Linked DNA regions of Arabidopsis thaliana. The protein of the gene in region 2 interacts with the protein of the main gene of each other region in a pairwise test. Each region holds a gene or a part of one and is shown on either strand. Other genes may lie near its edges.

Region 1 (7,588 bases), about 22 Mb from region 2:
ATTAGTAGTCTGTCACATAGTTTCTTATTAACTAAAAAATATAAAATAATAATAGAGTAGGAGAGAGATAGAAGAGAGATTGAGAATAGTTTCTCTGCAGAAAAACTTTCGAGTAATGATTGAGAGACTATGTGTATATGTGTGTTTATAATTGGACAGAAACTAAATCATAATAAAATATTATTATATTTTTTTTTTTTAGAAACTTTTAAAGTATCTTACCAATGGAGATGGCCTAATAACTCCTATAACGATACTTTATTTTAATTTTGCATGAATTATCATATATGCCGCGTGCATGTATAGAAGATGTGTATCCACCATGCACGTAGACATTCATTGTAGATTTGTTGTTGTACATATCCACATATAATATGTTATATTTATGTATCACTTTAGCTTACTAAAACAAAGAAGTCATAATTCATAAATAGTTTCAAGTCTTGTATGTGTTTTATTTCCTTTGTCGCACTCACACTACCTATACTTCTTTTATACTATTGCTTTCCTTACAACTAAATTATGACGTTTGTGAGATTTTATTATACTAGAAAATAATCGTCAAATAAAAGAGCGTCTTTGCCTGTTGAACCAATTACTATTTAAAATATAGAGTAGTGTGGTCAATTGATTAATTATTGGTCGATGACCTCTACATAATTGGAGCTTTGAGATACATAACAAAACACAAGTACCAAGAAAAAAAACAAATAATAATAATGCATGTAGTAAGATAATAATCGAGCTTCTTAAATCTTCTCTTGTCTTTAATAATATTCCTATATATTCTAATTATGCATAGAATCCTACGTGATTAAGAAACATCAAATTCTCATTGTTCAGCCGTATGATCGTAATCTTTCTTGTTAGTTGCATATCTTCTACTTGTTGGGATTTCAATTATTGTTTTATCACCGAACAAATAACTGTTGGAAAATTTCATATTATGTCAAATGATCAGCTCCGTATTGTATCTATGCTTATGTTATGTTCGAAAAATGGACTCCTAAAAATGACACATTACAAAAAAAAATAAAAATAAAAAATAGCTTCGAGGCCTTTGAGGGTAAAAGCTCTAACCTCTCTCATAAAAGAATTAAAAATGGATCTTTGGATATCAAGAAAATTATTTTGAAATAATTAAATTGAACCAAAATCAGAAAACAAAACACATGACATTGTTGATTTGTCGTTTACTAAACCGATTTTCATTTGCCTAATTCTATTTTTATTGTGTTAGATCAAATAATGATGTCATCTTGTGTGTTTTACAACTAATAATAATTAAATTAGCAATTAACTATGGTAGACCTTAGCTTCGACCACCCTATACAAGCATATATCAATTTCGGTTATCAAAAAAAAAAGAAAAAAGAATCCGTTTGTAAAATTTTGCTAGTGAATTATATCTCTAATCCATATTCTCGATTGATGAAACATTATTCTGACATACATTAAAAAATTAGTTTAAGAATATTTTTGCAAAACTTATGCGATGTGATAAGCTCACTTTTTTTAGGTGACATGTTCGATCATAAGGTGCCAATAATTCCCTAGAAATAGATTAATCTCTATGTAAAATATCGAATCGTCTAGTGACAAGTACATGGTATACCTACCTATTCACTTATTATTTCTATTTTTGTCGTCCTCATGCATCTTATGTTATAATATCAAATGACGGAAAATGAGGGATGAATTCTATAAGCTAAGAAAACTAAAATAAGGGGGAAATTGCAAGAAGAATGAAAGCAACCTTTCAAATATCCTTATCTTATCCAATCCTTTTCAGGCCATTGACTTATTTTCTAATTAACCTAATTATATATATAAGAAAAAGCTAAGGCATCTTATATTTATATATACATATATCAATTGATTGCTAATAATGTTTTGATTAACTCTGCATATGGCATGTTTTCCAGCGATTTAAGTTCACAAAGAAGATTTTCGTTTTTGTCATCACTAAAAATTATCTAGTTCTTTCTACTTTTTCAGCGTACAATAATCTTTTTTTCTATCAATTGGTACGTTTTTTATTTTCTCAATTTTAATTTTGTTTTCTAGGTACATTTTTAATCGAATTGCACCAAAATATCCAAACAAATCAATAAAACAGGCAGAATGAGGTATTACCGTATTAGTTAAACGAGAAGTGGCTACTTTCCTCAGCGTGATTAAAATGCTTATGGGTTCAGTTTCATAATTCTCATATACGGAACTACGCATTTGACCTCATGCTCTCTATAAATATTAAGATCTGATGTTGAGAGCCCATTAGAACTAAGTTTACGAATGAGCCCATGATAGTTTAACTTGGGCCTAATTAGTGTCTAATCTGCTTCTAACGTTACCGAGTCAAACGCGGTCTAAACTAATTTGTAGAGTAGTGTATTTGTCCAAAGCGTACCCACACAATTGCTGAGAAACTTCAAACCCTAAGTGTGTGTCTAGTATTTTGCAATATACGACGCATAAAGAAATATCCTAACATTGACAACAACAAAAAAAAATCTTAGCGGAGATATAGACGTGTGAGACAAGAGCTCACACGTGTTGCACATTCGAGACTTGTTGATAATGACGACAACAAGAGGTTCTAGAATATTCGTGTTGGTTTCATTATTATTAGCAAATAAGACCAAGTCAACAAACTAACTTAAACATTGTGGATCGTCCACTTGTCCGACTCTTACGTCAAACCCATCATTGTTCCACATATCTCCACGCGTCAATCTCTCTATAAATACGAACAAATGAACACGTATCAATTCAACTCAAAAAGTAACAATTTGAATTACTTCCGCAAATCTAAAATAATATCTAGTGAAGCGAATATGTGTTTCTTTGATAATCGGTGCGATCAGAATCTGACGGTGGTGGTGGATGTGGCGTGGTGGATGGAGGCTGTTCCTCCACAAATCATTTCTCCGGCGAAGCCATCGGTTTCTCCGATTCTTGAGACGATTTTAGAAGGCGGAGAGACCGAAGAAGACAATCAAGAACAAGAAAACGAGGACGTGTAAATTGTAATGATCATTTTGTTACTCGGTCTTGGGTTTAAGATAGACTCTTGTTGTTGTTGTTGTTTTTTCTATAACTGTATAAGATGAGATTTTGTATTGTATCTTTTGTACAATCAAATCTCAGTTCTTTGTGAAATTTTCATTCAACTTTCACATCTTGTACGCTCGGTGATCTGTTGTTATATGCTCACGAGTTGGTAATTAAAGACAAATCTTAATATACTTTCTAACCGAACCGGGACGATAACCGGTCCACGACAAAAAATCAGTATCTTCAAATATCAAACCAAACTTAAACCTGAAACCAGTCTCACCGCTATTTCTGTTTGGTGCGATCATTTTCTCAACCAAAAGAATCTAATTTACATTAATTTTTAATAAAGACATGTATGATTTATCTGCAAACTAAAGCAGTGTACGCATACTTATGTTTCAACTTTCGAGCATCACCTAAATATGAAACATAAATATCACGTGCGATAAGTATTAAGCTGCGTCCTATAAAAAAGTATACAAATATATAAAGATCACTTGATGATTAGTTAATTACACTACTACTATTCCTCTCTATCTCTATAAATATCAGCAATAACAATAATTTCCACATAGATCTTCTCAACACAGTCGAAAGCTGCCGAAGTCTAAATCGAAGAAAGAGTATATTTACAAATCATGGCTAGGATGATCGGACCATTCGAAACTGTACCGGCGATTCTTGTTTATCCGATGAGGGTTTCAGCTTCGCCTTCGCTGGGGACAATTTATGAGGAACACGATGAGTAAAATTTTAACAAGACAAGATCAAAACTCGAGTGTTTAATTATTTTTTAATCCATTTTAATGAAATATTCATTTTGAAATATATCTTGATAGTGCTTTCTATTTCTTGGTTGATTTCCACTTTAAACTCTTTTTTATCGACGTTATTATGATCTCCTATATAATCAGACATAAGAGAAGATGTTTCTTAATGACGATCAGTGCAAGATGTTTCTTAATGACGAGCAGTGCTTCTTGTAATCGCCGGTATTAATGGATGTGTTTCTTTGTTTTCCGATCAACCTCCAAAACCAATCTCGTGTCTCCGGTTTTGTCATTTCGTTTCTTCTTATTTTGTAACCGTGATATTGTTGTGAGGCCTTGGGCCTATTGCCTGCCTAGTGCTACTGATAATGATTTCTTTGTTTTATGTGATTAAAAGTAATAATCAATTTCCCATGGTAATTAATCAAGTTTAATACTAATTTATAATATATACAAATAAACGTTTTGGTGTTTCTTCGTCGACGTCGCTATCTCCAATCTCATTACTCCCCTTTCTCAATGATCATAAAACCTACTTCGATTCTACTCCTTATCAACTGAATCACCGAAAAACCTCACCTTTTTTCTTTTTCCGATCATGGGGAATCTGATCAGTTTGATCTTCTGCTGCGGGAGAAGGCAGAGGAGCAATATTCCTCCGGCGATGGAAACGGCTCCTCTTGAACTCCCACCGAACAGATTTGTATTCGCCGCCGTGCCACCATATCTGAACCCTAACCCTAACTACGTTGACCAGTATCCAGGTAACTGCCTTCCTCCGCCAGTAACTGAGCCGCCGATGCTACCGTACAATTTCAACCATTTGCATCACTATCCTCCCAACAGTTACCAACTACCTCATCCTTTGTTTCACGGCGGTAGATACCCTATACTGCCGCCTCCTACGTACGTCCACCAGAAAGCCGTCACGATTCGTAACGATGTTAATCTGAAGAAGAAGACTTTAACGCTCATACCCGACCCGGAGAATCCGAATCGACTTCTTGTCTCCTTCACATTTGATGCATCCATGCCCGGAAGGTTTTACTTTCAAACTATGAAATGATCAAATTTAGTTAAAAGTTTGAATCTTGTTTGAATCAATCAATGGAGTAATATAAATGACTTAGCTTTTGTTGTTTTGGTTGGCGAGAACAGGATCACAGTTGTTTTCTTTGCTACAGAAGATGCAGAATGTAATCTTAGAGCTACAAAGGAAGATACTTTGCCTCCAATCACTTTTGATTTCGGAGAAGGACTTGGTCAGAAGTTCATACAATCATCTGGAACGGGTATAGACTTGACGGCGTTTAAAGATTCCGAGCTATTCAAGGAGGTGGATACAGATGTCTTCCCGTTGGCGGTTAAGGCGGAGGCAACTCCAGCGGAAGAAGGAAAGTCTGGTTCCACCAATGTGCAGATTACTCAAGTGGTGTATACCAAGGAGAAAGGAGAGATTAAAATAGAAGTGGTGAAGCAGATACTATGGGTGAATAAGAGGAGGTATGAGCTGCTTGAGATTTATGGGATTGAGAACACGGTTGATGGTTCCGATGAGGGAAAGGAATGTGTTGTATGCTTGTCTGAACCACGCGATACAACTGTTCTTCCTTGCAGACACATGGTATAGTGTTCATCATACTTAAAATTAGCTCATATAAAAAAAAAATTGAACTTCTTTTGAAATGGTTTGTGTATTTCTGTTTGGCAGTGTATGTGTAGCGGGTGCGCAAAGGCGTTAAGGTTTCAGACAAATCTGTGCCCAGTTTGCAGACAACCTGTTGAGATGCTTTTGGAGATTAACAAGAACGGATGAAATGGAGATGGAGAATGAACAAATTTAGTTAAGCAATCGACTTGTGTAATATATGCCATGCTTAATTAAGACGTAAAACGTTATGGTTCAATATATTATAAGTGGAAACTGAGTTCTTAAATAGCAATGATAAACAGATAGGCAGCTTCTTATTTAGTTATAGGTGCTTGGCCAGGAGCTGTGGTGGCCGAGGACCAACTATGGCAAACACAGAAGGTGATGGCATTACAACTGAGACAAAGACAGACACGAATCGACGTAGATAAGACTAAGGCGAAGCGAGATTGAGTTTTACATTGGTTTAGTCTTCCCACCATTGATGAACAAACACACCTCTGGCTCTCAGAGTTTGAAGCATGTTGATGCAGTCTGACTTGTGGTTGGAACAGCGGAGGAAAAGCTCATCCACGTAGCATATGACTCCTGTTTCCAGTAAAACAGTTAGGAACTTCATTTCCACTTGGTTTGTGTTCATCTTAAGGACTACAAAGTCTGCGTATTTCGCAGTTTCCTCAAACCAAGCAAGGAAATCGAATCTCTCATCTTCTGGAAATGGTTCTAGCTGTTCAAGCGGAGTTATCTTTTTCCCTGTCGAGTTGTTCTCAGCCAAATCCGGATGGTAAACAAAGGTGACGCCGGGTTTCTTGACATAGGATAGCATTACTGAAGTGTTGTGGTCGACAAAGTAGACATTGAATGCTTTGCTGTCGAGTGGGTATAACGGAAAGAACCAGTTTGGAGTTAAATTAGCATCCATGTGCTCGGCTGCTCCAATGTCAATGTAGACAAGGCTCTTTTTCAGAGAGAGATCAAGGAATTTAGGTAAGTAAGCTACTGATTTTGGGAAATCAGCAGGCTTTTGCTCCAGTAGAGGTTCCATGAACTCTGTGTAAGGTCTATTGGTGTCAACAGATTTGCAATCTCTTGGTAGCTGAGACTTTCCAATACAATAAGCAGTCTCCGTTACATTCCTCTTGAATACAATGACGGTGAACTTATCCAAGTTGTTCACACGCACTATCTCAGACTGCTTAAGCCCCGAAGTCACGGATTTGACAAGACGATTGGCATTAGTACTCACAAGGACTGCTCCGGTTCCACCAGGCTTCAGAACCCGCTCCATCTCAAGCACAAGAAGAGCAGGGGAAGCAACATGATCAACATCCCCACAGAGCACGAAATCAAAAGACTTGTCACCACTAAGCTCAAGCTCGTTGACATGCTTCCTACTGAAAAAGGAAAACAATGGATGCTTAGGAACCCCTTGAACAACTGAGAAACCCATCTCTTTGAACCCTGAAACAGCAGAATCCGATCCCTGACCAATGCAGAGAATCTTAGCATCATAATGCAATAGCTTTAACCCCATGAGCTCATCAACGAGATCAGCAATTACCACTTGTGGATACTTCTCTGTCTCAATTTTACCCCAGAATGGTTGAACGAGCTTATGGAAGAACAATTTCGGTCCTGGAATAACAAATCGGCCGAGATCGACCAAATCCACTGCTCCATGATCACCAAAGACGTGATTTTTAGCGGTTAACTCCAACAAAGGGACAACAGATAGAGCAGAGGCGATGATGAGAGCACGAAACAGAGCATGCCTATTCGTAGATCCACGGAAGATATTAAGCTTCAAGATCTTTATACCCATTGATTTCTTCAAATACTTCAGCTCCGATGGAATCTTAAAATATGATTAATGTCTAGTACGATTTGCTAAACAGATCTTAAGAACAAAGAAGAATCGCAAAGAGAAAATCGAAGAATCTAGCGAGTACAAAACCTGGAGGAGGTATGGTTTCCACCCACGAGGAGAACTATAGATATTTGTGATCCAAACCAGACCCTTCTTGGAACCCTAATCGACTTCACCTCCGTCCCCATTCTCACCGTTCGATCCACCATGCAGAAAAAAAAGAAACAAAATCTCGTCTTA
Region 2 (7,535 bases):
TTAATATGAAGGCCCATTTTTGGAGATCCATGGACTTTTGGAAAATAGAATCCGGACTATTTTGATAATACCAGCTTTAATTCTGGTTGATAAGTAAGTAATAAGATACTGAGATTACAACTAGAATCCATATTTTGATCAATCTCTTGAGTTGTTCTTCCTCCATGTCTCAGACTTTCTTTTTGTTATGAATTTTTGGCGTTTTTCAATCACTGATCTAGGTTATAACTTGGGTGTTGCGTGTGGTGAGGTCATAGTTAAGTTTAGTCTTGTAATGCAAATTTGAGATTTTGTAATATTAACTTACAGAATGAGATACATAGCAACTTAATTTTTAAGTTAACTTCTAAGTTCTTATATAATGTGATAGCTGCATTTTTTGTAAGTATATCATTAAATAATGTGATTGTTAACAATAACCCTACGGAATCCATTTAGAAATGTAATTCACTGGGGAAAATAAAATAACTTGCTTCTGAAGAAATCAATGAGCAAGGAGATTTCATTGGAGCATCTCTCCCCCAGGTTGTTCCGAATCAACTGAGGAAAAAACAGCCAACCAGCGGTCACATTTACAAACGCTATCGTGAACATCCAAGATACGACTGGTCTCACCGGCCACCTCCGTACAAACGCCGTCCTCTTCGCTGCCACTTCCGCCACCGTGCAAACTCCATGTAAGAGAAAGAATAAAGCGACTTCCCCTGTAGGCATCGCACGGGTTATATAAAAGAAAACCACTTCATGAGCCACACCAGAGGTTACAAACGTCGCAAAAACACCAATCAACATTGCATAATCAGAGCTCATTACTCGTTGGCAGACACGCCGCACAGGAGTGTAGACGATTGCCCGAAGACTTGCCGAGACTATGAGGTTCCACCTGCGACCCCAAAAGTCTTGAAGAGATGTGGCTAAGTATGGTTCGTGAAAATGTGGCTCTAGGTCACAACCAAGAATGATAGTCATTAGAATTCTAAGGAGCGTTAAGAGAATCTCAAGTAACAAATATACATACAGTGGATGGAGACACAATAGAAAAGTACGAGGAAGGTTTTGTATGTCGTTATGCACATATAACAACACAACAAAGATTGCAATTTTAACGGGAAAAACATACGTGGACAAATGATCTTGAGATTTAGGGTTTTGTTGACGCTGGATTGGGAAGCAAGTAAAGCAGGTAAATCTGAATAGATTTGAAGGTAGTGGAAAAAGAGGACCTTGATCAAAGGAAAAGAGGATGAGTCTTGAATTGGCAATAGCTGATAAGAAAAACGCTGTGGTGGAAGTGAAAATTGAAAAGGAGAAGAACAGAGGAAGAACAACTAACAAAACACAGACCGGAAAAATAGAGAGTAATCGAAGAACACCAGATTTGATTCTTGGTGGTAAGCAGTAGCAGTAAGATACTGAGATAATTGTTAAAAACCCTACATTGATCAAGCTCTTGATTTCTTCCTCCATCTCTCAGTTTTTTTTTGTTAATGGGTTGCTGAGTTTAAGCAAGTAACATTGGTTTTTGCTACAACTACAACTTACCCACTACTTCCGTTATATCAGTATTAGAATCAGTCCTTGACTCCTTTCTCTGTTTACACAAAAATAAAAAAAAATAAAAATCAGAACTCTTCAAACGCCTCTCTGTAATGTGATTTGATATAGTGTGAATTAGATGAGTAACCAAAAGCGTGCCAACAGCCAACTAATTAATATTCAAAGTAAAGAAGAAAAATAAAAAGAAAGTGAGAAATTGTCAAAGAGTTTATGGTTCATGTTTAGTTGAGACTATCGGTGTAAGGTGGTAGTTCTCCGTATGGGAGAATTCACATGGTTCAACTTCAAGTCAAGTTTAACACTAGACCAGTATACCTAACTGTCCAAAAATATTAATCACCGATTTATTTCATCAAATTATTATAAAGTTATATTTTTAGTATAGACAAATATATGAGGAATTTTCATGAAATACCCCTTTTGAATCTTAGATGTACCAATTTTCGAAAAATACTATTATTCAAAAAGACTACTACTCTACCGGAATATTTTTAGTAAATTTGCCATATTTTTCAGGTTTCTTTATTTTTAGGATAGATGAAAAATGAAGTTTTGTCTTCAACACCTATTAATTTATTTGTAAGATAGTTTAGCGAAAACAAAACAACTTTGATAAATAAACATGTAAATTTTATTAAGGGGAAATTGGAAATAAAAGATAAATATTTAAAAAAATTTCCATCTATACATTTTATGATCAAGATTGGTGACATATGCGTTTAATATAATTTAAATCCCACTATATCTCCAGCTTTTTTATGCTTACAAAATACAAAACAAAAAGTCCAAACCAATTTATTTTTACTTGGAGCAAATCAATATTCTTTTACTTGGAGTCGTCGTTCATCACTTCTTCGATATTGTCTTCCTCTATTCTTCACAAAAATTAAGCTGTTCACTCCTCTCAAATAACTCCAAAACAAAACTCTTTTTTTTTCAATTTATCTTTCTTTATTTCCCTCGCTTCAATTTCTCTTAGAATCTTACCATCTCTTTCTTTAAATATTTATCCTTTGTTTCCAATTTTCCCATTTATTAAAGACTCGTAAACAACCCTAAGAGGATATATAACTTACGATTAAAGAAATCAATTAGAAACAAGTCTTCATTGATGAACCTCTCCATCAAGCCGTGCCTAATAGGCTGGGGGGAAAATAGCCAAACACCAGTCACAAACACAAACCCCACCGTAAGCAGTCTCGACACTGCCGGATTCACCGGCCACCGCTGCACCAACTTCGTCTTCCTCTTCAGTGCCACTTCAGCCGCCATGCAAAACCCATGTAACACAAAGAACCAAGTCACCTCCCATGTAGGCTTCTCACGTGTCAAATAGAAGTAGAGAATCTCGTGAGCCACACCAGAGACGAGGAACGTGGCGAAAATCGCGAAGAACCGATCCCACTCGGAGCTCTTGGCTCGCCATTGCCGTATGGGGTTGTACACTGCGAGCCAGAGAATCTTCGAGACCATGAGGTTCCATCGGTGACCCCAGAAGTCATGTAGAGAGGTGGCTAAGTATGGTTCGTTGAATTGTGGCTCGAGGTCACACCCAAGAGTGATACTGACGAGAAATTTTATCAAGGTTAAGGAAATCTCAAGCTCCAAGTATATATGCAGAGCATAGAGACCCAATAGAAAATTCGTAGATAGAAATTGTTTGTAATGATACGCTTGTAGTAACAAGGCACCAAAGATGAAAACTTTCAGGGCAAAAACCCATTTGGGGAAATGGTTAGTATTTTCAGGGTTAGGTTTTTTTTGAAGCTTGATGGGGAAGCAAGCAAAGCAGACGAAATGAGGGAGATTAGGAGGAAGTGGAAAAAGAGGACCTTTTTCTAATGCAAAGAGGATGAGTTTTGGAACTGCAAGACCTGAGAGGAAAAATGCAATAGTGAAAGAGGAATGAACAGTGGAGAAAAAGATAGGAATAATAAGAAACAAAACACAAACAGGAAGAACAGATAGTAATCGAAGAAGACTGGTTTTGATTTTGGGTGTTAAGTAGTAACAATAAGTTACTGAAATGATTGCAGAAACCCATACTTGGATGAATAACTTGAGTTCTTCCTCCATGGTTACTGGTTAAGTGATAATAAACCAAGAAACATAGGAAAAATGTTTACAGTTGTAGTATATAAGCGTGGGAGCAATTAATAAAGACAGTATGTTTGTTACACATTTAAGGGAAAAAACTATTGGCAGTTGTTGAGTAGTTAATGGCTCTGGAAAATCTATCAAATTAAGTACTTTCCTCTTTTATGATATAGTAATATAGTACTAGTAGTGTATGTAAAAATAAAAAAAAATAAGTATGACTACCGTTTATAGTTTTTCTTTTCAACGTCTTAAATATTGAATTTTTTTATGAAAAAGTTAGCAGAGCAGAGCATAATTAACACTCGTAAAAAACAGTGAAATAAAACTAAGGTTGTCGTTTCTCCTTAATGCGATTATGAAGCCATGCGGGACCTCCCGTTCTAAGTACGAGTTGAAACGCACCCATCTCTCGTAACACAACTACACAAGCAATATCAATATATCATAAAAATTCGTTTTCGCCTGGAACTAAAGAATTTGAATGATTCAAAACCTGCAATAAGTTGACGAATTCTACCGATGAGGGAGCAATGAAGCTTCTATTTCTTAAATAATTTGACAGCAGAGTAAACATTTTGACCTATGCTTGACGTTATATGGGAAATCCATATAGTTTTTTTCTTCCTCTCGCTAACGCTCTTTGGCGATCTTTCCTCCCAACTATGTTGTATTTAGATAATCTCTCTACAAAGGGTTCACGTGAACATGACACAAACAGTAGTCGAGGGAACAAAAATTGATCGATCGATAGGAAGTGTTGGTTTGGTTCCAAGTAACACTATTATTTCATTCTTTAGTTCCAAGTAAAAACAAATCGTCATGTACAACGAACTTGGAACTGAAGCAAGTCAGTTTTTTTAGGGTTTGATAAGAAAGAAAGAAACGGCATGAAGAGACCAAGAGACATGCTGGCAGCATCTTAAAGAGTTTCTACTAATTCCAACTTGCCGACATCTTCAACAAGACAAGTTCGATTCATTTCAAGATAAGTAGTTGACCATTATGGACTTTGATGCTCAACCGGACTCAATAACGTTAACTCGTGCTCATTTAACACTCGTTATAAAATATCCCCAACAACGTAAATAAAATAACTTATCGCTTAATGAACTCAACGAGCAACACAGCTTCAGATGTGAATCTCTCCATCACCCCGCTCCTTTTAAGCTGAGGTGTAAACAACCAACCACCAGTCACAAACACAAACCCCACCGTGAGAACCCGCGACACCCCCGGACTCAACCGCCACCGCTGTGCTACCGTCGTTTTCTTCTTCACCGCCAATTCTACAGCAGTACAAACGCCATGTAACACAAAGAACAGAGTAACTTCTCCTGTAGGCATCTCACGTATCAAATAGAAGAAGAGCAATTCGTGAACCAAACCGGAGACGATAAACGCTGCCAAAATCCCCGGAAACAGAGCCCAACCGGAACTCATTTTGCGTTCAGAGACTCGCCGCATTGGTGCGTAAACGGCTGGCCGGAGAATCGCCGGAACCATGAGATTCCACCGGCGACCCCAGAAGTCTTGTAGAGATGTGGCTAAGTACGGTTTATTGGACTGTGGCTCAAGATCGCAGCCAAGAGAGATAAAAACAACAACTTTAACAAACGTTAATATAATCTCAATCTCTAAGTAGAGATGCACAAAATAGAGACCTAATAGTATAGTCGGAGACAGATTTTGTCTGTAGCTATACAAATGTAATAGCACTGCAAAGATTGCAAGTTTAATGGCGAAAACCAATTTGGGCAAATGGTTTTGAGATTTAGGGTTTTGCTGAACCTTGATGGGGAAGCAAGTGAAGCAGAAGAATCGAGGGAAATTTGTTGGAATTGGGATTAAAGGACCTTTATCGAAGGAGAAGAGGATGAGTTTGAAATTAGCAAGCCATGTGAGGAAAAACGCTGTGATTAAAGATAAATGCAGAGAGGAGAAAAACAGAGGAAGAACAAGAAACAGAGCAAGAACAGGGGAAACAGAGAGGAATCGAGGAGCACCAGATTTGATTCTAGGTGGTATGTAGTAACAATAAGATATCGAGATTATTGCAGAAACCCATACTTTGATCAAGTTCTTGAGTTCTTCATCCATCTCTCAGATCTTTGTTTGTGTTGTTGTTTTTGGCAATCACCGAGGTTATAACTTATTACTTGGCTATTTTTTTATGTGTCTTGAAATGGGAAAAACTATAGTTACATTGTTACAGAGGCAACCTCAATTACATAAAGTAGGTGAGAGGTAGATCAAAGGCTACAAAGAAGAGCATTAATATTGAGTCATTGGGTAGTTGTGGAGTGTTGAGTAGTAAATGTAACAAATATTGTAAAATATCTCCTTGGAATGAGGATCGGAGAATGGTTGGTCATTTGGTCTAAGTAAGAAATTCTGGTCGCGTGATAAAGTGATAAGAATCGTTGTTAGTTTTTTTTACAAGGACACAATAAACTTTAGTTAAGCATTTTTGTATAACCACTACATTTCTTTACTAATGATATTTACATTCTTATAAAAACAAAAAAGTATCATTGTTAGTTTTATAAGTTATAACAGCATTCGAAAGTAAGCCTTAGCTAAAATGGGTAGAAGATTAATGCATTATGGAGATTTTTACCTTGGGGTTTTAATCATTCTACCATTTTCCTCCCAAAATCCCATCTCTAGCAATTTCACGAAGTGTACTAGAGGTAAGTCACTTTTACCAATTTCTCATTTTCTCCAACATCTTATTATTTTAATTGAACATGTCTCATGACATAATTATATTAAATTAAACCAAGTGTCCGATAAGTTAACAAAATTAGACAGAATATAGCATAACATAATCAAAATATAAGCAAAATATAAGCAAAATAAGTAGAAGTTATATGGTCAATTCTGAGCAAAACACTTTTGATGGCAACTAACTACACCAATTCACGAAGTAGTGCAACAATCCGAATGACTTAAAAACAAAAGAAAATTATAATAGTGAATAGACAGAAGTTTGGTTTAGTCCAATCAACCCGGTATTAGATCTCTCTTTGGTTGCAGTCCAACATGTGTGATTAAAAATGGTTTGTGTAAACGTAATCTAAAATCCTCGTTTAATTACACTTTTTATTACGCATAGTTGGATCAGAGAGCAATTATTGGTTTAAGATGTTCACTTGTATAAGAACATAAGATGGTGCACTTACATAATCACTTGCAATGGTCCACTACACAAACCAAATTTAAATTGTCCAATATAAGTCGAATATATAAATCAAACACTTGTTTTGTCTTATTCAACTCAAATTGTCCACAAAACTTTTAGATTTGTATTTTATAAAATATATCTAGACTTAGAAAGTAGAAACAATGACGTTGTTTCCACGATTTGACATTTACCAAAGCCGTTTCAATCACAGAATATCTCTTTAGTTCTCTTCCCAAATCATCAAAAGTAATATGATTGATAAAATTAGCTATAACCATAAATCTACGATTTTAGCGATTGGTTTCTACAAAGGTAGAAAAACTTGTGCTTGACGAAACCAATAAACAAAAAGGCTTCGTCAGCTAGTCTCTCGATCATGCCACTCCTTGCAAGGTGAGGGAAAAACAACCAACCACCGGTCATAACAACAAATCCCACCGTGAGCAGTCGTGAAACCATCTGACTCACCTTCCATCGCCGCACCAACCTCGTCCTCTTCGCAGCGCATTCAGCGGCAGTGCAAACTCCATGTAATACAAAGAACAAAGTGACTTCACCTGTCGGCGATTCACGTGTAAAATAGAAGAAAATAAGCTCGTGAACCACACCGGAAACAAGGAACGAGGCAAAAACTCCCAAGAACAAAGCCTGATCAGAGTTCATTTTCCGACCGGCCATTTGTCGCACCGGGAGG

What was found. Proteins that work in one complex are often made in the same cells at the same time.
Region 1: the proteins of AT5G55330 (region 2) and LUL1 interact in a protein complementation assay, tested with the Arabidopsis thaliana proteins (one large-scale study listed by BioGRID).

What each region holds. Positions count from the first base shown.
Region 1 is NC_003076.8:758,508-766,095, reverse strand, and holds LUL1 (RING/U-box superfamily protein), read left to right. Parts: upstream 1-4,255; 5' UTR 4,256-4,428; coding exon 4,429-4,871; intron 4,872-4,988; coding exon 4,989-5,454; intron 5,455-5,541; coding exon 5,542-5,646; 3' UTR 5,647-5,777; downstream 5,778-7,588. Other genes in the region: DIP2 (E3 ubiquitin-protein ligase), read left to right, coding at 2,757-3,026; AT5G03204 (uncharacterized protein), read left to right, coding at 3,699-3,809; CPUORF47 (peptide upstream protein), read right to left, coding at 5,948-7,253, 7,436-7,557. UniProt on the Arabidopsis thaliana protein: Acts as an E3 ubiquitin-protein ligase, or as part of E3 complex, which accepts ubiquitin from specific E2 ubiquitin-conjugating enzymes and then transfers it to substrates (in vitro).
Region 2 is NC_003076.8:22,435,233-22,442,767, forward strand, and holds AT5G55330 (MBOAT (membrane bound O-acyl transferase) family protein), read right to left. Parts: upstream 3,653-7,535; 5' UTR 3,634-3,652; coding exon 2,593-3,633; 3' UTR 2,239-2,592; downstream 1-2,238. Other genes in the region: AT5G55320 (MBOAT (membrane bound O-acyl transferase) family protein), read right to left, coding at 448-1,467; AT5G55340 (MBOAT (membrane bound O-acyl transferase) family protein), read right to left, coding at 4,753-5,754; AT5G55350 (MBOAT (membrane bound O-acyl transferase) family protein), read right to left, coding at 7,124-7,535. UniProt on the Arabidopsis thaliana protein: Catalyzes the final step in the synthesis of long-chain linear esters (waxes).